Linked DNA regions of Elephas maximus indicus. The protein of the gene in region 3 purifies or fractionates together with the protein of the main gene of each other region. This does not show direct contact. Links are inferred from orthologs where the notes say so. Each region holds a gene or a part of one and is shown on either strand. Other genes may lie near its edges. The genes, in order: UBXN7, EZH2, CUL4B and COPS8.

Region 1 (7,517 bases), on a different chromosome or scaffold from region 3:
GGCAGCCCGAGAAGACAAAGTATTATAATGACATGTGCAAAGAGCAGGAGATAGAAAACCAAAAGAGAAGAACATGCTCAGATTTCTCAAGCTGAAAGAACTGAAGAAAAAATTCAAGCCTCAAGTTGCAATAGTGAAGGATTCTATGGGGAAAATATTGAATGATGCAGGAAGCATCAAAAGAAGATGAAAGGAATACACAGAGTCATTATACCAAAAAGAATTGGTCGATGTCCAACCATTTCAAAAGGTAGTATATGATCAGGAACCAATGGTACTGATGGAAGAAGTCCAAGCTGCACTGAAGGCACTGGCAAAAAATAAGGCTCCAGGAATTGATGGAATATCAATTGAGATGTTTCAACAAATGGATGCGGCACTGGAAGCACTCACTCATCTATACTAAGAAATTTGGAAGACAGCTACCTGGCCAACTGACTGGAAGAGATCCATATCTATGTCTATTCCCAAGAAGGTGATCGATCCGAATGCAGAAATTATCCAACATCACTAATATTACATGCAAGCAAAATTTTGCTGAAGATCATTCAAAAGTGGCTGCAGCAGTATATTGACAGGGAACTGCCAGCAATTCCGGCAAGATTCAGAAGAGGACGTGGAACCAGGGATATCATTCCTGATGTCAGATGGATCCTGGCTGAAGGCAGAGAATACCAGAAGGATGTTTACCTGTGTTTTATTGACTATGCAAAAGCATTTGACTGTGTGGATCATAATGAATTATAGATAACATTGCAAAGAATGGGAATTCCAGGGCACTTAATTGTGCTCATGAGGATCCTGTACCTAGATCAAGAGGCAGTTGTTTGGATAGAACAAGGGGATACTTTGTGGTAAAGTCAGGAAAGGTGTGCGTTAGGATTGTATCCTTTCACCACACCTATTCAATCTGAATGTTAAGCATATAATCCGAGAAGCTGGACTATATGAAGAATGGGGCAACACAACAGGAGGAAGACTTATTAACAACCTTTGATATGCAGATGACACAACCTTTCTTGCTGAAAGTGAAGAGGACTTGAAGCACTTCTTGAAGATGATCAAAGATCACAGCCTTCAGTATGGATTACACCTCAACATAAAGAAAACAAACATCCTCACAACTGGACCAATAAGCAACATCATGATAAATGGAGAAAAGAATGAAGTTGTCAAGGATTTCATTTCACTCGGATCCACAATCCACAGCCATGGAAGCAGCAGTGAAGAAATCAAGAGACACGTTGCATTGGGCACGTCTGCTGCAAAAGACATCTTTAAAGTGTTGAAAAGCAAAGATGTTACCTTGAAGACTAAGTTGTGCCTGACTCAAGCCATGGTATTTTCAATCGCATCACATGCATGCGAAAGCTGGATGATGAATAAGGAAAACTGAAGAAGAATTGATGCCTTTGAATTGTGGTGCTGGAAAAGAATACTGAATATATCATGGACTGCCAGAAGAAGGAACAAATCTGTCTTGTAAGAAGCACAACGAGAATGCTCCTTAGAAGCAGGGATGGTGAGACTGTGTCTTATACACTTTGGACATGTAGTCAGGAGGCATCAGTCCCTGGAAAAGGACATTATGCTTGGTAAAGTACAAGGTCAGCCGAAAACATGGATTGACACAGTGGCTGTAACAATGGGCTCAAGCAGAACAACCATTGTGAGCATAGTGCAGGACCAGGCAGTGTTTCGTTCTGTGGTACATAGGGTCACTATGAGTTGGAATCGACTCGATGGCACCTAACAACAAGTTTCCCGTTTTAAATCTTTTAGTTTTGTTTTATCCTTCATTATTGTATCCCTTCACTTAAGGTTCAGGGTTCCAGGATTGACCGTCTCAATCCGTTTTGCTTTTTCAGGTCTTTATTGCAGCTGGATGGCTTAGTGTATCTGACTGGTCCGCCATCTTGGTTCTGCCTTCTTCATCTTTACTCTTGAGGAATCATTTACTGTGAACAGAATTCTAGTTCCATCCTTATTTTTTTCTCAGCAGTTTAAGTATAATATCCCATTATTTTTTGCTCTTCTCTTCAGAATTTTGTATCAAACTAATTGCTATTCTTTTGTAAGATATTTTCTATCATCTATTGCCAGTTGCCCTGGGGTTATTATCAGCCTTGGATCACTTTCTACTAATTTTTCAACTTGGGTAGTTCCTGGCCCCTGCAGGAATTAAAATTTGAATTCCAAACCATCTCAGGACAGGCCTGTGGTTAGGAATTCTTAGAGTTGATACTTTTAGCTACAGCTCACCTGCAGGAATCCAGAGGCAGAGAGACAAGCTTATTGTACCTTCCCAGTGCTGAGGGTGTATTTTTTCTTGTCTGAACTTTTATGTTATTATTGAGCAAGTAGTTCTTCAAAGGTTTCAGCTTTAAGGGGAGGGGGAGTTTCAGTTTAACTAGCCCACTTCGTGAAGGCACAAGGCCTCAAGTCTTGCTGCCGAGTGACCTTTAAACCCATTCAATCAGACATACAACCTCCCCCTCTTTCTGCTCTCTAGCCCCAACATTATCTCAAACTTATTGCACAATGATTTTGTTCCCTCTTCATTTTTGGCCACTGGAGATTTCCTGTATTTTTCTGAGATCTAAGCTACCCACTTAAACAAATGCTTGTTATGATTTGGGTGGCATTTCTAGGTGTTTTGCTCTCAGGTCTGTGTGGCCTGTCAGAATGCCCCACATCCTTTCTTTGCTCAAGAGTATTCTTGATTAGGAATCTACCTTCTTTTATACCAATCCTGTCTTTCTGAAACTACAATCCTATAATTAACCTTGATTTGACATGGTTCTTTCTCAGTTCTCCCCAAGCATACATTTACATACTGTTTCTTAGAATTCTCCAGATGACTCATTCTATCTTTTATTGAGCCATTTTCTTGTGAAGATGCAAGATATTTGGATGGGGGAGGGGAAAGGCTAGAACCTAAACTGAGGCTCTTTAACCTTATTCTCTAGGTGGGATGTCATTACATCCGAGTGCACCTCACTCATATAATTCTATTTAAAAACATTTAGAAGTATACAAGTAACATACAAATATTCTTTTTTGTTTAAAAATAAAAGATACAAAATAAACTCAAAGTCCCTTTTCAACACTGTCCCTCTCGCTCCCCTTTCTAGAGGTAACTATTATCAGTGTTTTCAGGACATCTTTGCAGTGCCATTTCTATACATTTTCTTTTCTCTCAGCTGTATATACACCTATACATTTTCTTTTTACAGAAACGATACCCCCTTATTTTACAGATGAGGAAACTAAGTGGGACCCTGAGGGGAAAAATGTGTAGACAAATTTATTGAAGGAAAGCCAACGGAAAAATCATTTATTAATACCCTACTATGAACTGGTCTCTACTTCTTTGGAACAAAATACAATGAAGGAAACCAAGGACTCAAAGAAGCAACTAGCCCACATGAACCATGGTCTCATCTAGCCTGAGACCAGAACTACATGGTGCTTGGCTACCACAACCATTATTACCAGGGACACAATAGAAGATCCCAGGTGGGTTGGCAGAAAAATGTGGAACAAAACTCAAATTTCTAAAAAAAAAACACCAGACTTGCTGGACCAAGAAAGACTAGAGAAACCTCTGAGACTATCTCCCTAAGATATGCTTTGAACTTGGAACTGAAGCTACTTCCACATAAAAGATAGGCTTATAAAATAAACAATATCACCTGTGAGTACTGTGATCCCTTAAATAATCAACTACCTGAGATCAAACGGTCAACATTTACCCTAAAGCAAGGATGAGAAGATAAGGAGGGGCAGGGAAGCTAGATTTAGTGGAAACAGAACAAACAGAATGGAAATGACGAGAATAGTGACACATTGTGTAACCAATGTCAGGAAACAATCTGTATAAAAATTGTTAAATGGGAACCTACTTTGCTGTAAACTTTCACCTAAAACACAATAAAATATTATTTTTTAAAAACCCCTACTACGTGTCAAATCCTGCACCATGCTATCTTGGCATGAAAGGTTCTGGTATTTTGCTGGATAGGGTCGCTGCACTAGGTTAGGGAAAGCAATTAGTTTAGACGTTGGAGAACCTGTACGAGTGGCTTCAGTGTTGATGATATAGGATTTGGATTTTGGTGGGAGCTTCAGCAAACCTAGCAGAGGGGTTGTGGAGCTGCAAAAAAGAAAAAAAACAACAACAAAAAACCCTGTCACCGGTAGTTGGGTCTGTCACTAAAGCTTGTCAAGTTGAATCGCGAGGAACCTGCTACCTGGCGAGTCCGAATCTTCCTCTGGAAAGCAGGAGCTCATACCGTGTCTACCAGGCTGGCCTTGGAGTTTGGAGAGGGAGGCACCAGAGGCTGCAAGAAGGATGCGGCGAGCAGACAGCAACCGAGCAGCCAATCCGGAGAGCAGAGAGAGCGCTCCCGGACCGGTCGGGAAGTGCGCCTGCGCTCACCGCTCAGCGGGCCGGGAGGGGCGGAGCATGGGGATGGTCAATGAGCCTGCGCAAACGGCGCTGCGAGGTGGGGGAGGGCGGTCCGTGTGTGTCTGTGTTGTTGTTCGGCGGCAGCGGCGGCGGCGGTAAGATGGCTGCCCACGGGGGCTCCGCCGCGTCCTCGGCGCTGAAGGGGTTAATTCAGCAGTTCACCGCCATCACCGGTAAGAGACGCGGTTACCGGAAGGTGCAGAGCGGGGTCCGGGGCGGGCGGCGGGTCTGCCCCGGGCTTTCTTCTGCCTTCATGCATTCCTCCCTCGGGCTTTACTCAAAGCTCCCGTCCTCCCTCCTGAGGAAGAGGCGACGACGGCGTCGGGGTCTCCGGGTTCAGGCGGGAGGCGGCCCCCCCGCTGCCCACATTCTCGCTCGTGGTCTCCTCGCAGTGTGGAGGGGGACCCTTCACCCCTGCCAGCCCGGTCCCGGCGAGTGGGCCGAGCCCATCCGTCCCCGCCGGCCCGGGGGCCTGGGGGCGGAAGGAGTGGGGGGCCGCACCCGGGCCACCGCCCTCCTCCTCCTCCATCATCTTCCTCTCTTCTCTGGCCAGCTCGGGGGCGGAGTGCGTCCCCTCAGCTCCTCTTTCCCGGCTCCCCGGCCGGGTCATTCTCCCCCGTCCCTGGCCTGCCCTTCCCCTGGCTGGGCCCCTCGGAGCCATCGCTGTGGCCCTGGCTGGTTCGGGCCCTCCCGCCTTCACGGCGAGGCTAGTGGCTTCGGCAGCGCCTTCACGGATCCGGGGAGATCGGCCGCCAGGAAGGGGGCGGCTGAGAAGCACCTTAGGAACTGGGGTTTTAAGAGTAAAATGAGGGGATCCCCTCCACAAGCTTAATTGTGAAGGCCTGGAGGAATCCTGGCTGGCGTTTCCCACCTCCCTATAATAAAACCCCAAAGACCGAGGCGATGGCGCCGGGGCCTCCCGCTGCTCACATAGGGATGGCGGCAGAAACTTCGCCGAGAGGAAATCTCTCTCTGGCTGTCGGTATCCCTCAGACCCTAGGCCTGGGTTTTTCTTTTTTTGGACCCCTGCGAAGGGCACACGCAGATCCTCTCACCGCCTGGGGGAAAGGCCCTAAGCCATTCTCTGTATTCCCTGGGTCTTGGTTTCTCTCTGATGGTGCTGAACTTTTTTTGCATGAGTTATTAGAGGGCGGAGCAAATGATGAAGTTCTCTGTGGAGTGATTTGAGAGGAGAGTACTCCATGTGCCGGGGTGTAATTTTGCAGCTCTAGTTTGTCATTTTGGAAAGAGGTCAGAATGTTAGTTCTCTCGCCTAGCAGATCCTCTCTCTGATGCTTTGTTAAATGCGGACGATCCTTTCACTGTTAATGTTTCTCAGAGTTTGTCGTGCAAGATCTGGCTAAGGAAAATTTTACATTGTTTTACCCAATACAGGTTGTATGCTAGTTATCGTTGGATAATTAAAGCTCCTTTTATTTTTTTTTTTAACTCTGCAACGGTAACTAGATGTTTGATGCATTGTTATCTAGCTCCTGCGCATGCAGCAGTGGGTCAAAGTTGGTAAAGTAAAATTTGTAATAAAATCGGAGTGGGGAATGGAGTGATAATTTTCATATTCATAATTTAAAATATACTAAAGGTGTAATGCCATTACCTCCCGAAGCCACTTTTGTGGGGAAAATTATGTGTATAAGTTAACATGTACTGCATTATGTTTATATAGGAAAATCTTTGTAGTGAATCGGTTATAGAGTATCATTAATAATCCTTTTTTTAGGTTTATTAGAGGTAGTTTAATATGACACTTATTTAATTTCAGTTTTTTCTGCAGAGAAACTGAAATTAAATAAATGGACTCAGGAACACTTATTGCTTTAACTTCACATTATCTCTTGTAATGAACATTTTTGTTAGATATAGACAAAATCTGAAGTGTGATGAGGTGAACTGACTCACTGAACTGCCTTTATTCTGTCTCTGTTTGCTAGTCTATACTGCCTGTTTCCTGGTCACAGGCGTTTCTATTTCTGAATCAGGTTGGATTCTCTCAGTAGACAATGGTATCTAGAATTCTGCAAAAGCAGAAATACCTTAGATTGTTCCTAATCTATTGTGAATTGTTATTAATAATTTTTTTAGATTCTTTCAACGAGGTTATGATTACCATTAGAAACACCTGATTGATCCCTCCACCCCTTTTCATGTATCTAAAAAATAAATTTGGGGGTTATCTTCACATATATTGTAAACAGTAGTGTTTATGATAAGAAGGTAGTTGTTTTTTATGCATTGCTGGGTGAATTAGGCTGACCTTAAAAAAAATTTTTTTTTTTTAAGAGCTTATGCTCTGATTTTGAAAAGGTTTACTTACCTAGAAGCTCAACATTCTGATACAAGCAACTAATTCAATGGCATTTAGAAATAGAAAATTGAAAGATTTCTTAGTAAATCTTATTTCTTACTAAATAAAACAAATTTCTCTATAGTACGTGTGTATGAAGGAATGAATCTGATTTTTAAAATTTTTTAATTATTAAAAAGATGACAAACATGAAATAGTTTGGAAAAAGGGAAAAAAACTAATTTTCCACTCTTACATCAATATTATTTATTTTATTATGGTCTCTTCCAATTCTCGTTTACATACTTATTTTTTGCATTATAGATTGTACTGTACATAATTTAGAATTCTAAATTTTTCACTTAACGTTACACCGTACGCATTTTTCTATGATTGCGCTCTCTGACAAGCAGGTAGCCAAGGAAGTGATGTTCTTTGAAGTAATCATGTTAAGACGCTGTGTACCACCACCACTGATGCCTTCAGAGCTGTTTAAAGCTACATAAAATAAGTTCTTTTTAGTCATACCCCATTTTACAATATTACTTGGTTTGATAGCCCTTGATATTCATCACACATGACTTTGAATGACTGTTGGCTACTTTTAGAAGTCTTATCAGTTCTCAAAACATGAAAGAATATGCTGCTGAATCTGAAAGGAATTTCAAAAGAACAATTTAAAAAAATATTTTGAATCATGATAGTATCCCATTAACACTAACTTGGGCTGACATCCAGCCACAC
Region 2 (7,354 bases), on a different chromosome or scaffold from region 3:
AAGTTCCTCATGAGCACAGTTAAGTGTTCTGGAATTCCAATTTTCTGCCGTGTTATCCATAATTTGTTATGATCCACACAGTCTAATGCCTTTGCATAGTCAATTTTTATATACTAATAAATGGAGCTCTGGTGGTGCAGTGATTCCGTGGCCAACTGCTAAGTGAAAGGTTGGCAATTTGACCGTGGCTCCTCTGGAGAAAAGACCTGGCGGCCTACTCCCGTAAAGATTACAGCCTAGGAGACCCTAAGGAAGTCCTATGGGCTCACTGTGAGTCGAAATGGACTTGGTGGCACACAACAACAGATACTAAGGAAATAATTGTGACATAGTTTTAGGACCAGAGCACTGAAAACTTGGGCGATCTCTTTAGCAGCAAGTCATAAATTAAGTGTCCCCCTCTCCCAGCAAAACAAAACTCTTTAGAGTTGCGAGCATCTATATAAAAAAAATTTTTTTTTTTTTAATTAAGTGAAGCTTGCATGGCTGTATACTCTGTGTATCACCCAGTGAACTCTGCTGTCATTGGCTTATAAAATTTGTATTTACATCCATACTAGATTGTTGATTAAAGTTAGAAAGCTTGAGAAACTTTGATAATGGAAAAAAGTAAATGAGGAGTATAAAAAAGATCCTGCAAATTTTTTCAAGATGATCTTTATCCGTTAATTGTATTATATGAGCTAAATTAATAGATGGCGTATCAACCTGTCTTCAGTAAATTTTTAAGTGTTGAAAAGACAAAACATCATGACCTATTCATTTTAGTGTCTTAATTTTTAATACTAAAGACCATCTTTACGTATGTTACTCGCTGAGGAATGCTTATAAGCAAAACAAAGATTTAAGAAAATAAGACGATTGATTTTTGCTAAACATTGAATTTCAAACATCATTAAAGCCACCCTTGTGTGTTTTTGATCCAGTAGCACATAGTGAAATTCTCTATGTTCTATCTGCAGATACATGAGTATCTTCAGTGTGTTTACAAGTAATAGCCAGTTACTGAGAACCTTCCCTGTGCCTAGTATGTGTACAGTCTCCAAACCAAGCATTTTACTTTTGAATTTTGAAAATCATGCATTTTAATTATTTAAAAGGAAACACCATGTATCATTTGTTAAATGGGAAAAGTAGAATCCATCTTCATGGATTTTATAAAAGATTCTGTTAAGAGGAACTTAATTTTGAAGTATGCTGACCTGTCATATATTGGGTGGAAAAAATTGCAGCGTGAGTGTCCCTGTTCATCAATTCTGATCTACAGTACTTCAGTATTCAAATTATTTAATCAGTGTAAGCAGAATTGGCAAAATTTAATTTTAAAGCCCCAAGTTGGAATCGTCTTGATGACTACTAACAACAGCAGTGGTATTGTATGTTACCATAAAAAGTACTTATGGGTTAGAAAAGGTTGGAAATGCCTTCTAGAGTGAATTAGGGACTTGTAGTTTTTTTTTGTAGATGGCAGAAATGTTGCTCGAACAGGCTGGAAAAGATAAGTTGTGGCCCCTCCTTAGTAATTTTGCCTGTTTGGAGAATATTTGTTTGCTTGAAATAGAGCTCAAGTTATGCTACAAAGAATGTGTATTTTGACTCCCCGAGTGGTGTAAACGGTTAACGTGCTTGGCTGTTAACCAGAAGGTTGGAGGTCTGAGTCCACCCAGAGGTCCTTTGGAAGAAAGATCTGGGGATCTACTTCTGAAAAATCAACCATTGAAAACCCTGTGGGCACAGTTCTATTTTCAGACACATGAGGTGTCCATGAGTTGGGGTCAACTTGATGGCAACTGGTTTTGGTGTAAAGGAAACCAGCATTTTAGTTAGGAGAGGATATTGAAATCATATTGCTTAAATTTTGTTGGGTTTGGATTTGACCTTCTTTAGCTGTCTGTTCAATTGAGAGTGAAGTTAGTGCTATTAGACTAGTTAGGAAGGATGAGCGGTACTTGTAGTTATCACTTGGTTTTCTTTGGACAAGTAGGAACAACTGGAATGTTACCTTGGTTTAGCAAATCCTTTTTAGGAGTAAAGGGCCTTTAAGAAAGGTAGCCAAGGGCACTGAAGTGCCGGCTAGGGGACAGTTTTTGGTTTCTTGGCCTTTAGCAACTGAGTGAAGGACAGGGAGTCTTCCTAGGTAAGGCTTCTCCTAGGTAGACCAGAGCTGGACTCAGCTGGACTCAGGGCAGGTGCAGCCTGGTCATCTGAGAGGTAGAGAGGCTTGTCTCCTAGTGGGGAGTAAGTCAGCCCTGCATCACTAGTCTTCAAGAATGTCGCTGGTGAAGAGGAAACCTGCTGCCAGGACCTGCTGCTGCAGGGCATGAAATCTCAGCCCTGGATGTCCCTTAGCCAGAAGCCCCTGCACTTCAGGTGGTAGAAAGCCTGACCCAGACTGGTTTAGACAAACAAAGGTAGTTTGTTGACTATTGTAACTGAAGGAATGGGGAGGTGACTTGGCAGGGCTGGCCTGGCTCAGGGCGTGCACAGTGTGCCTGCGGTGGTTTCTTTCTTTCTCTTTTTCTGTTGTTGACTCTGCTCTTTGCAGACTCTCCTTCTGTGGTTACAAGATGCCCCCAGCAGTTCCTTGGGCTGCATGTTTCCATGTTCAAATCTAGTAGAGACCATTCCTAAGAGTCCTTGTGATGGACCTATCACTGTCTCCAGGGAGATGGTGTCCTTGGTCAGCTGAGTCGCCTCCTCAGATGTTCCTGACCCTTGGAGGATAGCTGTGTGAGTCCCTGATGAGGGGTGAGTTGAAGCAAACACTCTTGTGTTTACTTTTATGGGCAGTGAGGTTAAAGGGCCTGCCCGTGTGGGTGATCTTTCTGAGATTGGTTTGATTCATAAAACAGGCTGGACTTTGTGGTCTCTCCTGAGTTTTATTTAACCTGTAGAACAGCAGTCATGGAAGGCTGTACTGTATTCTGTGAAGGGTTTGATCGTCCCTGGCCATAGTCTGGTTTGGCTTTTGAATTTTCACTCACAGGTAGAGTCTCGTTCCAATCACTGGAGTTATGATTTGTTTTGAATGAGGAAGCTGTTTTCATATCCTGGATAATGTCATTTCACCTATGAAACTAGAACATCTTTCCAACGAGAAATTAAAGACAGAACAAAACAAAAAACTGGTTGTATCCACAAGTCCCCATCCACGTAGTAGCCAGTGTTTAAATAAATGTTGCCTTTGCCGCTACATCATATTTGGAGCTTTAATCCTCGAGCACAGAAATGGAGTCAGAAGGCCCACTTGAGCCCAGCTCTGCCCTGTCGTGGGAGGACCTGCTGTGGGCCAGCTGAAGGGCCAGGTATGTGTGTGTGTGGCTCTCATTTGGTGTATCTGACAAGCCTTGAGGGTAGGTGGTGCTATCCCTGTTTTTGGATGAGGACTTTGAGGAAATACCAGCTTTCTTATCAAATGTAAATCCCAGAGGTGCCAGGATTTGTGCTCGAGTTGTATTCATCGGTAAGGGTAGGTGAGGCCACAGGGCCCATATTCCGTCCCTGAGATTCACGGGACATTTCTGCCTCAAGTGCGGGCAGGCAGCCTCCCTTCCATACCTGGGCCCAGTGGGAGACAAGCCTGCAAGTCATCCATTTCAGTGTTTTTTGTTTTTATTTGTCTTTAAGTCTACTGTTTGCCAGGCACGTAGCCAGGCTCAGGGGTTTTACAAGTGAATAAAAACGATTCTTCTATTGAGGAACTTAAGAGTGGGAGCCGACCCGCTGACAAACGGGAAAGCTAGACATTCATAGACAGACATAGAGTGCTGTGAAGGCGGGTGGGCGTTTGTTTTCTGTAAAACATCCTTCTCAGTGGTGCCTTAAATTTTCTCATCTTTTCAAGGATCTGCCTACCTATCCCCATACTTTGAAAGAACAGTCTGAACACTTAGATTTATTTCTTAGCTTGTAATTCAGAGGTCACGATCCTTACATTTTGATAGTTTCTCCTGAATGAACTAGCATATATGTGTGTGTATATGTGTGTGTGTGTATAGTGTGTGTATATATATGCATGTATGTGTGTGTATATAATGTGTGTATATATATATATTGTGTACGTCTATATATGTGTGTGTATATAGTATGCGTATATGTATATAGTGTGTGCGTATATATTGTGTGTATGTGTGTGTGTATGTGTGTGTACGTGTATATATGTGTGTGTGTGTATATAGTGTGTGCATATATAGTGTGTATGTGTGTGTATGTATGTAGTGTGTGTATATAGTGTGTGTGTATATATGTGTGTATGTGTGTGTATGTATAGTGTGTGTGTGTATATAGTGTGTGTGTGTGCGCACGTGTATATATATTTATCCCCCCCCGCCCCCCCCCCCCCCCCACTTTGCAGTTACCAGACCATCCTGTAGGTTAAAGTCTTAACCTATGTACTTCTTTGGAAGAGTGTTGAGAAATTTATAAGCATAGAACTTATGGTATATGCCCTCCTTTTTTCCCTAAATGTTATTTATTTTGTTATTGAGAATATACACAGCAACGTGTATGCCCTGTTACAGAGATGTTTGTTCTGGAGTCAGTTCTGAAGTGTCGTGTCGACCTGGCATCCTGTCTGGCTCAGGTGGCATCTTCGGTAAGAGGGGAGAATCTTGTCATGGCAAGCTTTATTAGAGACCTTGCTTGGAAGGAGGGCAGCAGTGCTCAAACAATACAGTGCTGTCTCTTCACCAGGGCATAAAATGTGCGTCTTAAAAGGCATGTTGCCGCAGTACCCACGCCACAGTGCATTAACTGAGCACCACAGTCCTGCAGGTTTTATGGCGCAGGGGCGCCAGCTCCAAGGACCAGGAAGTGGCCAAGGCAGCAGGTAGACTAGTTGTCATGATCCAGTGGGCTCTCATTTTTAGCTGATTCCTTTCCCTTCTAGTTTCTAGGCCTTTGGAGTGCTGAAAGGTCTGAAAAATTTTGCGTAGAAATACTTACGCTCATCTGTTAACTAAGCTAGCATGTATGAAAGCAAACACGTCACTGAACTATTGACGTGTTTCTTCCTAACTGACGTCTTTTTGTCCTGCTTCACCTTCCCTTGCTAACCTCATTTTCTGCTTGAGTTAGTCTTCTCCGTTCTAACAACCCACAGATTTGCCCAGCCAGCCCCCTCAGGAAGGCCGTCCTTGGGGCCTGTGACCTTCTTCAGCCCTCATTGTCGCCCCTGCCCATCCTCAGAGCTGTCTCCTCCTCTTTCCCCCACCCTTGCTCCTGTTGACAGTGTCTTCCGGCCAGCTCCCTGCCTTCACCTGCCCCACGCCCAGCTTTCTCGAGCTCATGCCTTTGTTGTTAGTTGCCTTGAGTTACCCGTGACTCATGGTGACGTTGTGTATAATAAGGAAATGTTGCCCATTTTTGTACCATCTTCATGATTGTTGGTATGTTTGAGTCCATTGTTGGTGGCTGTTGTGTATCAGTCCATCTCACTGAAGGTTTCCCTCATTTTATGGACCCTCTATTTTATCAAATATGATGTCCTTTTCTAGTGATTGGTCTTTCCTGATGACCATCCTCGCTTCTAAGGAGCATTCTGGCTGTATTTCTTCTAAGATGGGTTTATTTATCCGACAGTCCACAGTATATTCAGTATTCTTTGGCAAAACAACAGTTCAAATGCATCAGTTCTTCTTCTGTCTTCCTTTCTCATTGTCCAGCTTTCACATGCACAGGAGGTGATTGAAAAAGACCATAGAGTCCCTCATACCTCAGAGAAATCCAGCTCATCTTTAAGGCTCCCTTGTCCTGTCTGCCTGCAGTCCTTCTCAAGTGCGCATCCTTCTTCCCCACTCTTCCTAACTCTGACCTTATAGGTACTTTTGTGTCTGGAGCGCGTACCAGACTGCATTTGCTTCTTTATGCCTTCTTGGCTAGAGTGTAAACTCTGTAAGGGCAAGGTGTGTCTCATTCACCTTTGTACACCTGTTACCTGCTTCATAATAGTCATTTATTACATGCTCGAGAAAATGCCATTCTTTGTCTCCCTTTCTTTCAGCTCTGAATAAACCACCTTCTGCTTTTGCATCACCATGTGGTTGTGGATGGAGTATTGTAGAAGTTACCACTGGCCTCAGGACCCTTTTTCTTCCTCTGAAGCTTCTCCTCAGGCAGTGCCGTATGCCTGAGGGTGTTATGTGCAGAGGTGCATGCATCCCTGGTTAGTTATTCCATCCAGAAAGCTACTTCCTCTCTCACTTTCCATTTTAAATCATCACGACGTCCTGGTGACGTTATCTCCTAAGTAACCCCTGGACTCATTCATTCTTCTCTCACTGCAGTCTCTGGCCTAGAGACCTCTGCCAGCAGCTCCCCATAGCTGCTCTCTCCCTGGCTCCTGCCCTGCAGCCAGCAGCTGCTCCATGTGTACCCCACCCTCTCAGTGCTGGATGACACTGGAGCAGAGGTCCTTGGTGTGCCTATAATAAAGCTCTGCCGGGAACTGCCCATCTCATCTCAACATGTCATGTGACCTCTGTGCTTTTGGAGGAAATGTGATAGAAAAGGATGTGACTTGGACCTAAGTGGGCTCCAAGGGTGCTGGGACCCCAGGAAGTGGGGCCCACCTGGGAGCGAGCCGAGGGCCACACCTCAGGGTTTGTTGCATCTCTCGGCCACTCTGCTGGCGGGAGCCCCTTGTAGAGGAAGGGGCTCAGGTGGGGAGTGCTGGGATGCAAGCTTGCTGTGTGCTGCACGGGTGGGTTTCCACCCACAGTGACTGGACCTATCACCACTTCTTTCTGTTGACCCCTCTGACTAGTCAGTTCTGCCTTCTGTAACAGCCAGTTTAGTGACAAGAACTTAGAATGTGCTCAGGCATTTCTTTCCCACAGAAACAAGGCTCTCAGAGAGTAAGAACTGTGGAGGCAGTGCCCTCTGGTTCCTGTCATGCTGTCACACCCTGGAAGGCAGCTGGTTTTGTGGGATATCTTCAAGGTGTAACTGCAGAGTGTCTTGCAAACATGGGTGGTATGGTGTGTGGTCATTGATTGTCACTGCTGGGATTACAGCCTCAGCAGTCAGCCTAGGCTGGCCAGATGAGTGATTTTATCATGAAACCGTTGCTTCTGCAGTGATCATGGGCCAGACCGGGAAGAAGTCTGAGAAGGGGCCTGTGTGCTGGCGGAAGCGCGTAAAGTCCGAGTACATGCGGCTGCGGCAGCTCAAGCGGTTCCGGCGGGCGGATGAGGTCAAGGTGAGATTGGCTCCCGTGAGGGGCACACACCCACCCTGGGTGGCTTTTCCCTAAAGTCAAGTAAGCTTTAATTTGAATGGCACATTCCCACCAGAGTCCTGTTCACAGCAGGGTCCCTTGAGCTGTCACAGTTAACTCCGCAGTGTCCCCTGCACA
Region 3 (7,719 bases):
TTGGTATTAAATACATCTTTTCCTTCAGAATCTTCTGCATTTTCTGCAAACACTCCAGCATATTTCAGGCAGACTGCTAGCTGCTTATCTTCAGATAGCTTCCAAATCATCCCTCCCTGTTCAGGACACTTCTCAGGGATACCGAGAAGGCTGTTTAGTCTTTTCATGGATCCTATGCTTAAGACAATTCCTCCTTCCACACTCACATATTCAAGGTCTCCAGATTTTATAGTGTGGCCTAGGTAGAAGGGCTGTGATGGATCCTTTTTTAACAAAAAATACTTTAAGTTTTCAATAATGGCAAACGTAGTGGGGCGTGCAAGGAAGAACCAGTTGTATTGGTCTTTATATTTATCAAAAGCATATTCGTAAGCTTTTCTCATCATTATCCACATGTCATCTGTTTCCATATTAATTGATTCAAACACTTTAACATTTTCAGAACTGAAGAACTCTGCTTTGTCACAGTGTTTGGTCCAAGTCTCCTTCACTGCAGCCCAAAGACTCACATCTTTGGGTTTTACAAGGATGATACAGTACACCCGAAAGCTCTTACTGAGCTCCATGCGTTCATCATCTGAAATTTTCAAGATATCTTCTTTGTTAGGAGCTTGTAGGTGATGATGCTCATGGTGGTGCATTCTATTTTCATGACCAATCCTAACGTGGCCTAGCATAGTGATCAAGGCACAGAAAATGCTTCCGAGCATCATACCCTTCAAAAATGAACTGCTTTCAGAAAGCATTTTTCCTATAAAGAAGAAAAAGATCCTTAAAATATTTAAAGGAAAAAGATTAGTCATTTGATTTGGTATTCCTTATATACTTACATTTTGCTCTGAACATTAAAAAGGTTCCCAAGTTTGAAATCCAGTTAGTTGTACATAGTACCAATGACCCTAGGAATCTTTAGCTTCCAGTGGCATCTGATTACTGTTTGATGTAAACTGGAACTTTGAAGCAACTCCTCTATGGAGTACAATCTGCTGTGAGAAGGCTCTTTTTTTTTTTTGTACTTCATCTGTGGGGATTTAATTGTCCAAGTACTAAATCAAAGCATTAACTCTAGAAACCAATGTCACAGAAGTTGTCCGTTCATCGTTCTCTTTAAAGGAATTTCGTTTCACAAGCTTGCATTATGTTATTCAAATACCTTTGCAGATATAAATGGACCTTCACACCAAAACCTTAAGTCTAACAGATAAAGCCACCTACAAGTGGCAAATCACCAATGGTATCTGTGTTGACATTTCTATTCCCAGCCTAGTACTTTATTTAACTGATGGCTGCTGACCTTAGGTGTTTGGAGTACATCTAAATCAAGTATCTTGAGATTGATAGCATATATGCTAATATTTACACTTTTGTTCCTAAAACTAAATGGTTTCCAATACTGTACCTAATACGTATCTCAACTAACTGGTGTATTAAAAGCTTATGATGGGAATAGTTAAATTATTTCGATGAGAACTAAATCAATACAGACATATCTGGGGACCATTAACAAACATTTTATTTCCTGAAAAGGCATTTTCTTCTTCCAGTAAAAAAGGGAAACTCTACACTTTTACTTCAACTGGAAAAAGCCAAACCAAACCAAACCTGTTGCCATCGAGTTGATTCCAACGCATGGCGACCCTAGACGACAGAGTAGAACTGCCCCCATAGGATTTCCAAGGAATGCCTGGTAGATTTGAACTGCCTTTTGGGTAGCTCTTAACCACTACACCACCAGGGTTTCCAACTGAAAAAGCCAACATTAAATACAACCAGCATTTATGCTTGTAAAGGCTAGTATTTTCCCAATCACCCCTTCATCTTCACAAAGAATGTTTTATTGAGCTACTCAGGTTTTCTCTTTGTCTCTTAAAGTTCAAAGGGGCACTAGAAGCTATCTAATGCCTTTTATCTCATTTTACAAATAGGGAAACTAAGGTCCAGAGAGGTTAAGCAACTGACCCAAAGTCACGAAGTTAATGGTAGAAGTGGAACTAGACACCAGATCTCCTGACATCACTTTAATATTTTTCTCATTACATATCAATTTCTACGGTGCTTCTACCCATAGTATTGAGACTTTAACAAATGAATCACTTGTTTTCCTACAGACCAAAAAAAAATATGTGTATATATACATATGGGGATCTGTTAACCATAATTGACATTTTACACCCAACATCATCATACTAAGAACTGGGGTGGGGGGAGAAGCAGGATGGTTGCACTGTATCACTCAAGGCACTTGATCAATAAACAGCTCCAAGAAGGAAAAGAGAACAGGAAACAAGCTTTGCTTAATTAGAACTGTCAGGGGTGCTCTAAAATTAACGTATATAGGAATGTGGCATTTCACATTACACAATTTTCATTATTTCTGGCCAATATATTTCACATGTGTCTCTCAGCTCCATAATGGCAAATAACGTCAGAATTCTGCCTGATGGGTTATTACTCATGGCTGCAAAAATATTGAACAAACTCAAGAAGTCAGCAATTTTTAAATAAAACCATTCACACAAATTATTCTAAGGAGTAGACTTCTTTTTTTTTTTCCAATCAAGGCAGGCCAAAAAATGTAACACTGGAAACGCACATGATAGGATATTTGAAGAAGAGAGGGAAACTTAAAACAAACACAAATGAAGCACTATCATAGTGGTTGGGATGAATCTTTTTAGAAGGTGAAGGTGCTGGGGTGGAGTATCAAAAAGGGAGGAGGACGAAAGGGGAGAAGAGAAGTAAGGAGTAGGATACGGTCACCTCAAAACTCTCCATCTCCCCCACTGACTATTCCTCCAACAGCACCTGCCTTGGCGTCCCGCGTGGAGCATGCTGGGAGTGAGCAAGGGCTCAGGCCCTCCTCAGGGAAGAGGCAGGGTCAGAACATTCCGGGGTCCGCGGGGGTGGGGGCCGAGACCCCGGCACTCACCGGTGTCTACAACGCCTCAGGGGTGGGAAAGCGCAGCCGCGCACAGCTTTCCTCTCAGGTCCGCGCGCCACTTGGTAACGCTCCCAGTCAGGCTGCTCTAGCTGCAGGCGGAGTCCTCTCGTTGGTTTCACTAAAGGTGGGGAGGACCAAGAAGCGGAGGCCACGAAGGCGAAGACAGCGGGGCGGGGCAAACGGGCCCTCGGCCCGGCTGAACCGCCCGCCCGCCCGCTCGCTCAGACCTCAGAAGGGCCCGCGCCTACGCCGCGCGCCTCTTTCTCTCAGTGCGCACGCAGCGCGCCTCTTTCTCCCCGCCCACCGCACGCTCTCCTGTACCCAATGGGACGCCTAGAGAGGCGTGCGTGCATCGGACCCGCCGACACCTCCCACCTCTTCTTCTTCCCGATGTGAAAACCGAGGGTGTTGTAGACTCTGGTTCCTGGCGGCCGTACGTGGGATGTCTCAGTGGTTTCTGTAAGGTAGCTCTGCATCATTGCACCCTTATATTGGCAAAGAGGTATTCCACCCGAGTACTTTTGGACTGGGGCCCAAATGTCAGCCACTAAAATCATTGAATTATGAGGGTAAGAATTCGCTATGGTTACTGGGCTGGGATCCGAAGCAACGCTGCCTGGAATCCAATCCTATCTTCACCACTAGCTTTGATGTCCTCGGAAATTTACTTCACCTCTCAACGCTTCAGTGCCCTCTTTTCTAAAATACAGAAAATATCACAGTAATGCCTATCTTGTAGAAGATTAAATGAGACAGTGCATGTGACTCCCTTAGCAAAACACCAACCATAGAGTAAGAGTTCAACAAATGTTGGCTGTTATTATTGTTCACTCCTCAACAATAAATATATAGTGGAATTAAATGAGTTAGAGCTACAGATGAGGAACCAGGCCCAGAAAGGATAAGAAACCTAATATAGGTCACATAGCTAGGTAGAGGCAGAGGTGGAACTAGAATCCAGGTCTCCTAATTACAAGTGCAGAACTCCTTCCACTAAATATATGGTCTATCATAAAATTCTTTTTGTGGCAGAGAGGGGTTTTTGCTAAAAAGCACAAATCCCTAGAAATATTTTAAATGTCACTATGTTTCCTTCAAATAGCATTAACTGAATGATTTCTCTATATTAGATACTGCTGTGGTGACTTCAGCTAGCGTTTCCAAAAACACATCTATCTTAGATGTTTTTGGGTCTATTAGCAATGACTATTCAGTCACAAAAAAATAGGCTCTGGGCAATTATCATGGCGGTGCTACCTTAAATTCTGGGGCTATGGTGGTAAACAAAATAAGTCCCCTGTAAAATATAGAACTGTCCGTCTAGCAGGGAAGAATGACATTAAACAATTTATTACAAATAATTGTAATAGTGATATATTCTCTGTTGTTGTTAGTTGCCGTTTTTTATTTATTGTGCTCTAAGTGAAAGTTTACAGTTCAAGTTAATTTCTCATACAAAAATTTATACACACATTGTTCTGTGACCCTAGTTGCTCTCCCTGTAATGTGACATGTCAGCTGCCTTTGACTCAGCCCCTGACTCTAAGGAATACAAAAGATGAATTTTTGAACTGGAAAGGAATTTAATACTGCAGAATATCTCTGTTATATTTTCTTGATTGATATATAGTCATTTTTAGATTGTCACAAATATAAATATATGTGTATACACGCACATATATATATAGTTAAGTGAAACAAGTTGCAGAATAATGTGTATAGTATGATTATACTTTGGTAACAACAAACAAATTTTTATATACATGCACATATGCTTGGTTTGTTTGAATGAGCAAGAGAGTATAGAACTATACCCAGCAGTATTGATCACATCCGGAGGTTGAGGTGAGTATGGTTAACTCTGTCATTATCCATCTTTGTATTGCATTGTTTCACTGCTTCTAACGAGCATTTATTACTTTTGAATTTGAAAAGCAGCAAATAAAGGAATTAAAAAAAATTAAAGCAACAAAGAGGAAAAGATACCAATACCTTTTTAAAGAGAATAGAGAACTAGTTTTCCTTGCAAAAAAGGACCAAGGAAGGACAGATAGAAATTTCACTCAGATTTCAGAGACAATTATAAGGAGGCAATTTAAAACATTTCTTTTTTCTAGTACAGGAAGGTATACCAAACTGGAAGTACTGATACACAGTGCTCTGAAACAGAACAAACCATAAGATTTTCAACACCAGAAACACTGCTAATGAGAAATTGTTTAAGAACCCAGTTCTCTATTTAAAGCAGAATTTAAGTATACTTAACATTTGAAATGAAGTTAGAGATGATTGACTTTAGTTAGGTGATTTCATTTTTTAGACCTTTACATATTATAACCTTAATAAGTCATGCAATTAGTATCTACTAAAAATAAGAATGTTTACACTCAGCATATAAGTGGGCCCAGCAAACCCACTTCTAGTAATCGCTCCCACAGAAATTAAAACATCAGAATGTAAGGCTGAATATATAAGGAAAAATGCATTATTGTTTATAATAGCAAAAGTGGGAAACATTCATCAATAAGGAAATGGTTGAATTAATTATGGTACAGCCATATAATGGAATATTAAACATTTAAAAACAAGATAGCTTATTTCACTAACCTGCACTAAACTTCACTAAACACACTAACCTGCACCTGTTATGGGGGTTTGCATTTGAATTTGGTTGCCTTCATGTACATAGCAGGCAAGGCAAGACTGCATTCAAAGCCGAAAACACTGCCTTTTTGGAAAAGCATTTCTGCCAATTCCATGCATTATGCAGCGTAGAGGTCATTAATTTCTAGTAATTGGAGATTCACTTGCGTGTAAGCACTCAAATTTTCAAAATTTGCCCTCAGGCCTTTGGGAAATTGACGTGACTTTCTGCAACAGTTCACTGGAATAATATTGAAGAAAATCTAAGGTGGATTGTTTTCTGCATAACATCTTTTTGGAGGGTTAAAAATATCTTCTGTGAATGAAGTACCTCTGTGTAACTCTTCTGCCCAGAGTTTCTCAACTGTTCATGTGCAATAAACAAATTCCCTGGTCTGAGCAAATTCATTATTGTTTCAGCTTGAGGATAGTTTGGTCTCTAAATGAATCTCAGTTTGTGTTTTCAGGCATATTCATGCTTGGAATCTTATGTCAAAAATATTTTTCTACTTAAAAATATCTGAGAGTTTTTTTTTTTTTAAATGAACAAACCCATTTGCCCTCCAACAAAATGTTTACAGTATGTCATATCAGGCACTGTACTAGGTATTGTTTCTTTTAAAAACTTTTTTATTATGGAGAATTTCAAACTTACACAGAAGTAGAGAGAAAAGTATAATGAAATCACATGTACTTTTCACGAACCTTGAACAATCATCACCTCAAAGCCAATCTTGTCACATCTATACGTCTTCCACTTCCCTTTCTTCTAGATTATTGTAAAGCTCCTTCTGTCGTAAACATGTCAATATGGATCTCTAAGAGATAAGAATTTCTAAAAATCCACAATACCACTATCATATCTGAAAATTAATAATTCCTTAATTAATCAAATATCTAGAGTGTTCAAATTACCAACAATATCACAATTTTTTTATAGTCTAAATCAGACTCCAAATAAAATCTCTACAATGTGATTGGTTTTTGTGTCTCTTACGTCTCTTTTTAGTCTAGGTTCTCTCTTACTTTCTTTTCTTCTCTTGACATTTCTTTGTTGAAGCAATCTGATTGTTCTTGTAGATTTACCCACAGTCTGGTGCTGATTACCTCATCCTGGTTCTTTTAATATGTTTCTCTGTCCTTTGTATTCCCTGTGGACTGGTAGTTTGCCACATTTAGTAAATAAAAATACAGGATACCCAGTTAAAATTAAATTTGAGATAAACAAGGAATAATTTTTAGTATAAATATGTCCCGGATGTATTGCATGAGACATACTAACTATTGCATGTGACATGCTTATGCTAAAAAATTATTCCTTGTTTATCTGAAATTCAGATTGAACTGGATGTCCTGTATTTTATATGGCAACCCTAACCCTAATCAAAAGGCTTGGTTAGAATCAGGTTCATTTCTTTTCCGGGAAAAACTGCTTCATAGGTGGTTCTGTGTGCTTCCCTCAGGAGCCACATACTGTCTGGTTGTCTCTCCCTGTGATGCTCGCTGCCACTGATGGCCAGTGCCTGTGGTATTAATTCATCAGGGTTGCAATATGTGGTCTTGTAATTTTTAAGGCATTTTTTTTTTTTTTTACTGTGGTAGCAGTGTACATATAGGTCCCTGGGTGGTACTAATGGTTTGCTCTTGGCTACTAACGGCTGCTAACCAAAGGGTCAGCAGTTCGAATCTGCCAGGCGCTCCTTGGAAACTCTATGGAGCAGTTCTACTCTGTCCTATAAGGGTCGCTATGAGTCAAAATTGACTCGACAGCACTGGGTTTGGTTTTTTTTTTTTTTACTAACTGAAAGGTTGGTGGTTCAAATCCACCCAGTGGCTCTGGGGAAGAAAAGCCTGGTGATCTGCTTCGGTAAGATTAAATCCAACCTACTGCCGTTGAGTCGATTCTGACCCATAGTGACCCTATTTGACAGAGTAGAACTGCCCCGTAGGGTTTCCAAGGAGTGCCTGGTGGATTTGAACTGCTGACTTTTTGGTTAGCAGCTGAGCTCTTAACCACTACACCACCAGGGCTCCTGCAACCATTATGGAGACATATTTTTAAGAGGAAGTTTAGTGTAGTGATTAAGAGTTTAGGCTCTGGCGTAAGACAAACTTGGTTTTGAGCTCTGACTCTG
Region 4 (7,641 bases), on a different chromosome or scaffold from region 3:
ACCATTGCCCAAATAAGGCATTCCAACATAAAGATAAGCAAATCCGCACACCATCAAGGCTCTAGCATTTCCTGACAATGTGTGTGGGACCCAAAGCAATCACCTCATCATGGCCCTGCTGACCAGTGGCACAGAGCCTCCAAACTCTGCCAGGATGGGAGTTTATAAGGGTTTGAAAACCTGAACAACAGCAAACATATGATGATGGAATTATAAAAAATTAAGCAGAGAACTTACACAAACTGTAATAAGACTCTTGGTATTTAATTTTCAAAAAGGTATGGAAATAAAAAGATTTGGAAGAATTTAAACCAGAAACGTATCAGTAATTCTCTATGGGGTGTAAAACGATCAGAGACTCCTCTTTGTCTGCACAGCTGTGCTCTCTGGTTTTTCTTCAATGAACATGGATAATTAAAACACAAAACTCTGAAGAAATCTCATATGCTTTGCTAATAAATTCTTCTTAGCTTTCTCAAACAATTCTCCCTTTCAGCTCCTCTTGGACTATCGATTAAATGTGAGGTTACATCAACAAATGTCATTAGAAAGTTAAAAAAAAAAGGTCAATAGATGTTAAGGAATAACTGCACATAGACTTGACTAACACTGTAGTCTCTCGTAACAAACTGAAATATTTTTATAAGGTACCTGATAAACAAATGTAAATAAAAATAACTCAGCCTAATCAGAATTCATTAAGTTATGCTTCAAGGTAAAACAGGTGTATGCAGTGTTACGGTAAAAGATACAGCTCGCTGTGTCCATGACTTAGTGTGCTGCTTCAAGGCGAGGGTGATTCTGTCTAACTTTGGGGACACTGCTGCTGTTGGCTTTAGGTAGAAGGCACGTACATGTCGTTATAGAGCAGATACAAGGCCAGAAGCTGACCGTACACTGGGGCTGTGGCAATTCCTCCAGGAGCCTACAAAGCCAAAAGGGAAAGAGAAAAACCTTATTTATTCTTACCTCTTATTTAAAAAAAAAAAAAAAGCATTTTTTTAAATACAATGCATGTTTTATAGCCCTATTACATATATAAAAACAGCTTACAAAAGTATCAAACACTAAAACCATTGAACGAAGCTTAGCTCTGTCATCAGTTGTGACTTATCTCCCTCTGAGCCTTAATTTCTTCACATGATAATCTAATTGGGGTCTCTTTCCAAGTTTTCAAATTCTAATTTAAACGACTTTACTATTATAAGACACAAACATTCTGAACCAATTCCTAAAGCACTATGACTCTACCCATTATATCAAATATGTCGAACAGTCAACCAAAAAAAAACAAACCTATTGTCATGGAGTCGATTCTGACCCATAGCCACTCTGTAGGGCAGAGTAGAACTCCCCCATAGGGTTTCCAAGGAGCAGCTGGTGGATTCGAACTGACAACCTTTTGGTTAGCGGCCAAATGCTTCAACCACTAAGCCACCAGGGTCCACATGTTGAACAGTTAAGTACCGGTAAATGAGTGGGGAATAGAAAAACATCATGGCTGAGGTACAAAAACATTTCTTTCCCCATTTAACTTCAGGAAACATTTATTAAGCGTTTTTTATCAGTGAGCTAGAGCTACTTGGTCTCACTGTTCTCTCCTTTAATTAATTAACTATTTATAATAATGTCATGCATTTAAATGTCTAACTCAAAAAAGTCTAAACTATTAACTTCAACAGCATAATAAAACTTTCATTTGTCTTAACTAAAGACAAAACAGCAAATTTACTTGGTAGGAGTATTATGAGAATAAGACCGGCTTTCTGAGTCAAGGAAAGGTCCCACCTTTCTTGGTCTGTTTGTATATACATGGGCACATGCCTGCACAAGTGTCTTTAATAAAACCCACGTTTCCCCTCCCCCGGCCAATGACAAAGAAAGCAGCGTGTCTCGTCTAATTAATATAAAAAGCATACTGGTGGGTGTTAGGAGCAAAGACGCATATATTTGTTTTGTTTTTTCTCTCACAAGCTGAAGTTATTTGTCTTCAAACTTCAGCTTGTAAGAGAAAAAACAAAACAAGCTGAAGACAAATAACAAGTTAAACAGCAACAAAAAAGCCTTGTATAAGAAATACTACCCTACGCTTTGAAAAGCAGAAAAATTGGAACGAATTCTAAAAAGTATGTTTACTGTCCCCGCACCTGGGTGCACGTCGCAAATCGTTAACAAAGTACTGTTAACACAAGCAATGTAAAGGTCTTATCTGGGTACAAATGAACCAAAAATTGATTATAATATGGAAAAACCCAAATCTCAAACCCGTCGGCGTCGAGTAGATTCCGACTCATAGCGACCCTGCAGGACAGAGCAGAACTGCCTCATAGGGTTTCCAAGGGGCAGCTGGCGGATTCGAAGTGTCCACCTTTTGGTTAGCAGTCAAGCTCTTAACCAAAAAGGGCCAAAATTAAACTAAAGGAAAAAAAAAAAAGTCAAAATACACTGTATCAGACCAACTTAAGTCCCCAACATGGAGTCGGGGGACAGGAGAATTTCCACGCCTAGTAAGCCCAACCCGGGTCACACGAGAAAGGTGGCCCGCGCGGAGGGCGAGGCGTGATGACAGGTGGCCGGACAGCCCTGGTGCGGGGGCAGAATGGGGCTGCGACCGCGGTCCAGGCCGCGCTTCCCTCCAGGAGGCCGGGCCCGAGGGCTTCCAGGCGGAGCCGGCCGCAGCCGCCCGGGCTCCCCGCGCCCAGCTCCCGCGCCCGTCCCCTGCCGGCCGCCGTAGGGCCCGTTACCCCGGAGACCCCGCGGCTTCTCCCGGCCCGAGCCGAGCCCTACCTCGAGCTCCTGGTTCTCGCACTGATCCAGCAGCTTCTTGAAACTGAAGGCACTTTCCGCCATCACCGCCACTGGCATCTTCCCCGCCGCTCCCGCCGCCTCACCTCCCCGAAAACCAGACCCCAGACTGTCCCTACGGGTGTCGCGCCGGCGATGACGTAAAAAGCCTCGGCCGCCGACGAGCGCCCGTAGGTACTGGCAGGCGCGCCTGAGGTTTCCGTGCGTCCTCAGACGTCTCTGCGTCGGCTCGGGGGCGGGGGCAGGGGTCGTGGCCGCTCTGGCCCGCCTCTCTATGCTCTGGAGGACCGGTCGGTCCTCGCCGGAAGTCGGCGTCAGGAGTCAAGGCCAAGTCCGGGAAGGGCGGCGTTTTGTGCCTGCGGGAGGACTCCTTTTGAAGACAACCCATACGCGGAAAATAATAAACAGAAATTCCTCTAGAGGCACAGTAAAACGTTTATGTATAATAAGAAAAGAATGAGCCCTGCCGTACTGGTCGATGCCCTGCCTAGCGTTCTGGACAACGCCCTGCGCTTAGTAGGTGCTCAAGTTATGTTTGTATGTCTCAGGTTTGTGTTTTCAACCGCCTACTTGATACGTCGGCTTTGAGGCCTAATAGGCACGCAGACTTAGGTTCAAACCCTACCTCAGTCTGTTTCCCAAGCCCGCTTTTTCGCAGCCCTTCCCTCTTAGTAAAGGGCCTCACCATCCTCCAACCTGGCTCCCCTCTGCGCACCCCGCATTCGAGACTCAGGGAATCCCCGCTCTTCGCCTTCAGAATACATACAGAACCAGAACCTTTTCCAACTCGGACCCCTGAAATAGGCCAGCTACCACCCCTGTCTGCCTCCAGCCTGTTCTCTACACAGCAGCCAAAATGACTTTTATGAAACATAAATTAATTCTTGTTATTCCTCTTTTCAAAGCCCTAAAATCCAAAGGCTTTTCCATTGCTTACAAAGCTTACATGATCCAAATCCCAGCTGCTCTCTGACTCTGCTCCAGGCCTTGGGCTCCTTGGTTCTCTGCATGATACTGACTGCTGCCAAACAGTATGTTATAAATGTGTTTATTCGCTACTAAACCACAGGCGCCCCCAGGGCTAAGGCTTTGCTTTGTTCCCAGATGGCTTCACTAGTGAATTCTACCAAACATTTAAAGAAGGATTTATGCCAATTCTTCACAAACTCTTCCAAAAATTAGAAGAAGAAACACTTTACACTCATCTTATGAGGCTAGTATTACCCTAATACCAAAACCAGACAAAGTCATCACAAGGAAAGAAAACCACAGACTAAAATTGAAACCCCAAGTCGCCGTGGCTTCCTCCACTCCACTGAGGCACTCCCCCAACCTTCGTCTGCTGTCCTTGCAAACCACAGCTTCTAACTGCAGTTTGCTCCAAGCCCACAGCCCTACAAACCTTGGCTTCTAACCTTAGTTTGTTGGGGTCAAATCTTTGTACGTGCGCAGGTCAAGATCTTGGCACATGCGCAGATCAAGAGAATTCTGTACCTGACCCCAGGCCTGAGCATCACCAGAGGGGAAGATATTCTCCAGCACCCAGTGCCACCCGAGCTACTTTGGAAAGCGAGAAGTCCCCCAACTTGAACTTCCTGTGAAGAGTGACTCAGCATGACTCAGCACCCAGATCCCCAGGGATCTGAGGACATAAAAGCTCCCCAATCCTTACCTTGCTCCTTGTCTGCGCAGACAATAAATTTGCCACTTCCTATTTCCCTTGCAATTGGTGTCTGTCTTATTTTTGTGTTTTTTCAAAATCTCTTATGAATATAGATACAATTGTCCTCCACAAAATACAGGCAACCTCATCCGGCAATATACAAAATCGATTACATGCTATGGCCAAGTAGGATTTAGCCCAGAAATGTAAGGTGAGTTTAACATTCAAAAAACAATTAATATAATACGCCATATCAATAGAAAAAGGTACCAAATCCATAGATTCAGAAAAAGTGTGTGACAAAATCCAACACCCCTTCATGATAAAAATACTCAACAAACTAGGCATAGAAGGGAATTTCCTCAATGTGATGAAGGACATCTGTGAGAAACCCACACCTACAGCATATTTAATAGTAAAAGGTTGAATCCTGTGAAGCAATGAATCCCCTTACAGAGAGAAATTTGACCTTTGTCCTCAGTTCCTGAGAAATAACTGAAATTTCCTGAGTAATTACAGTACCTTTTGTTATTTGGGAGCCCTGGTGGCAGAGTGGTTAAGCACTCGGCTGCTAACCAAAAAAGGTCTGCAGTTTGAATCCACCAGTTGCTCCTTGGAAACCCTATGGGGCAGCTCTACCCTGTCCTATAGGGTTGCTATGAGTCTGAATTGACTCAACAGCAATGGGTTTGTTACTTAAGCTTAAGGACTATACCAGAGGATTTATGCTAATGAGTGGGGGGCTGGCCAAGCTAGAAGGACCACATCATGACCTGAAATCAGCTGACCTCAGGGAGATAAGGGAACATGATTCAATCACGCATATGCAATGAGGCTCTTACCATGAATATGAATATGAATATGAATATGCAATGAGGCCCCTATCATGCATATGTAATGAAACAAATAAAGGCTCTGGACACAGAGGCTTCAGGAGCTTCCTGGTTGGTGAAAGGCATGGATACACATGGGAGGGTAGTGAGCTTCTTGGGGGGTATGGAAACTCTTCATTGAGAATACCCCTGGACCTTGCCCTGTACATCTCTTCACTATGCTGATTTGTATTCTTTTTGCTACAATAAGCCTGTAACCGTAAGTATAGTATTTTCTGAGCTCTATGAATTGTTCCAGTGAATTATCAAACCCAAAGGAACAGTGGGAGCCAGCAAGTGAAAGTTAGGAAGTCCAGGGGAGGCCCCCAAACTTGGACTGACATTCTGAATGAATAGTGGGAAATACCCAAGTTTGTAGCCAGCAGGTTAGAAGTAAGGGTGTCATGTGGACTCCCAGGCTTGTGGCTGGCATCTGCCTATTTGGCAGTCTGAAGGATGGTGTCCTTTTAAGTTGTGAGATCTGACCTAGCTGGGGGTGGCTAGGGTCAGAACGAGAAAGTGCCGTGTGGGCAGAGGTTGTCAGAGATAATTGAGAAATGGGAAAGTGGGCATTTGAGTAATCTTCACATTTTGAGGATTGAATTTATGTAAATTTTTATCTGTGAAAATGCTTTTCTCCCAAAATCAAGAGGAAGACAAAGATGTCCACTGTCACCACTTCTATTTAGCACTTCACTAGAAGTTCTATTCAGGGCATTTTGGGTTTGAGGGTGTTAATGTGGCCAAGAACAAGATGATAGATTGCTCAGGTACTTCCATCGGACCACTGGCTGAGAGGGACATTTGTGTCCTTGACGGGTGAAATATCAGTTTGAGCTCTTGGGCAAGGCACCCCTGTGGGCGGCCCTGTGGTAGATGTTGCCATTTCATTAAGCAAGGTAGCAATACACAATGAAAACCATGACATAGTCTTAGCCTTGGACTTAGTGTACTGCCCTTGGGAAGCTATCCTAATGAAATAATTACTGAAGAGGGAATGAACTGCAGCTAAAACGTGGTGCAAAATCATAAAGTACAATAGCTAAACCACTGAATGACCTAATAGGTGCATGGTTAAACATGCCATGTCTGTGTCTTAGTCTCCTAGGACTGCCATAACAAAATACCACAAGTGGGTGGCTTTGAAGAACAGAAATTTATTGTCTCACAGTTCTGCAGGCTAGAAGTCCAAGTCAGCGTCTCTTCCATGTTGATTCCTCCTGAGGACTATGAGAGCGGAGCAGCCGCATGCCGCTCCCCTTGTTTCTGGTGGTGAGAATCCTGGGAGCTCCTTTGCTGCTTCTATGTGCATCTGCTTCCATCAGCTTACGCTGTGTCTTCACCCCAGGTATGTCTCTGTGTCTAAAACTGCTCCTCTTCTATGAGATGCCTCTGAGAAGGGTTTGGGATTAGGGCCCACCCTACGCCTGTATAACTTCGTTAATTTTTATGAATGTATCAATAAATACGGGAAGTGAATAAAGAAGTGAAAACTGTTGTAAGGTTTTTATGGTTAAGGTTATGTGTCACCTTGGCTAGGCCATGATTCTCAGTGGTATGGCAGATATAACGCAATCACTGTCCATGATGTGATCTGTTGTGAGCAGCCAATCAGTTGAAAAGGCAGTTTCCTTGGGGGTGTGGCCTGCAGCCAATATATATGGATGTTACAGCAAAGCTTGCTCTCTCTTGATCCTACATTAAACTGTCATAGTCTAACCTCTGATTCTTGGGATGTGAACCAGCAGCCTGCTGTCTGACCTGCCAATTTTGGGTTCATCAGACCCTACAAATGTATGACTCAGGAAAAATCTCCAGCCTGAGAGCTGACCCACAGAATTTGGGTCTTGCCAGCCTCCATAATTACATGACCCAAATAAATCTCTCTCTCTCTGTGTATATATATATGATATGCAGATGACACAACCTTGCTTGCTGAAAATGAAGAGGACTTAAAAGACTTACAGGTGAATACCAAAGACTAAAGCCTTCAGTATGGACTACACCTCAACATAAAGATGAGAAAACTCCTCACTGCTGGACCAATAAGCAACAGCATGATAATGGACAAAATATTGAAGTTGTCAAGGATTTCATTTGACTTGAATCTACAATACCAACAACACCCATGGAAGCAGCAGTCAAGAAATCAAATGACATATTGCATCGCACAAATCTGCTGCAAAATGCCCCTTTACAGTGTTAAAAAGCAAAGATGTCACTTTGAAGACTAAGATGTCCCTGACCCAAGGCATGATATTTTCAGTCACCTCACATTCATGTGAAAGCTGGACAATAAAT

What was found.
Region 1: the proteins of CUL4B (region 3) and UBXN7 purify together in Homo sapiens (affinity purification with mass spectrometry; 3 studies listed by BioGRID and IntAct, with this or other methods). This does not show direct contact. The link is inferred for Elephas maximus indicus from reciprocal best matches to the Homo sapiens genes CUL4B and UBXN7.
Region 2: the proteins of CUL4B (region 3) and EZH2 purify together in Homo sapiens (affinity purification with mass spectrometry; 4 studies listed by BioGRID and IntAct, with this or other methods). This does not show direct contact. The link is inferred for Elephas maximus indicus from reciprocal best matches to the Homo sapiens genes CUL4B and EZH2.
Region 4: the proteins of CUL4B (region 3) and COPS8 purify together in Homo sapiens (affinity purification with mass spectrometry; 7 studies listed by BioGRID and IntAct, counting the BioPlex papers as one, with this or other methods). This does not show direct contact. The link is inferred for Elephas maximus indicus from reciprocal best matches to the Homo sapiens genes CUL4B and COPS8.

The regions. Positions count from the first base shown.
Region 1 is NC_064819.1:17,997,053-18,004,569, reverse strand, and holds the start of UBXN7 (UBX domain-containing protein 7), read left to right. Parts: upstream 1-4,501; 5' UTR 4,502-4,571; coding exon 4,572-4,644; intron 4,645-7,517. UniProt on the Homo sapiens protein: Ubiquitin-binding adapter that links a subset of NEDD8-associated cullin ring ligases (CRLs) to the segregase VCP/p97, to regulate turnover of their ubiquitination substrates.
Region 2 is NC_064826.1:1,338,093-1,345,446, forward strand, and holds the start of EZH2 (histone-lysine N-methyltransferase EZH2), read left to right. Parts: upstream 1-4,351; 5' UTR 4,352-4,464; coding exon 4,465-4,594; intron 4,595-7,076; coding exon 7,077-7,198; intron 7,199-7,354. UniProt on the Homo sapiens protein: Polycomb group (PcG) protein. Catalytic subunit of the PRC2/EED-EZH2 complex, which methylates 'Lys-9' (H3K9me) and 'Lys-27' (H3K27me) of histone H3, leading to transcriptional repression of the affected target gene.
Region 3 is NC_064846.1:35,958,926-35,966,644, reverse strand, and holds the start of CUL4B (cullin-4B), read right to left. Parts: upstream 3,018-7,719; 5' UTR 2,930-3,017; intron 772-2,929; exon of another isoform or gene 747-771; coding exon of another isoform or gene 1-746. Other genes in the region: C1GALT1C1 (C1GALT1-specific chaperone 1), read right to left, coding at 1-746.
Region 4 is NC_064824.1:139,246,718-139,254,358, reverse strand, and holds the start of COPS8 (COP9 signalosome complex subunit 8), read right to left. Parts: upstream 3,005-7,641; 5' UTR 2,866-3,004; coding exon 2,788-2,865; intron 926-2,787; coding exon 855-925; intron 1-854. UniProt on the Homo sapiens protein: Component of the COP9 signalosome complex (CSN), a complex involved in various cellular and developmental processes.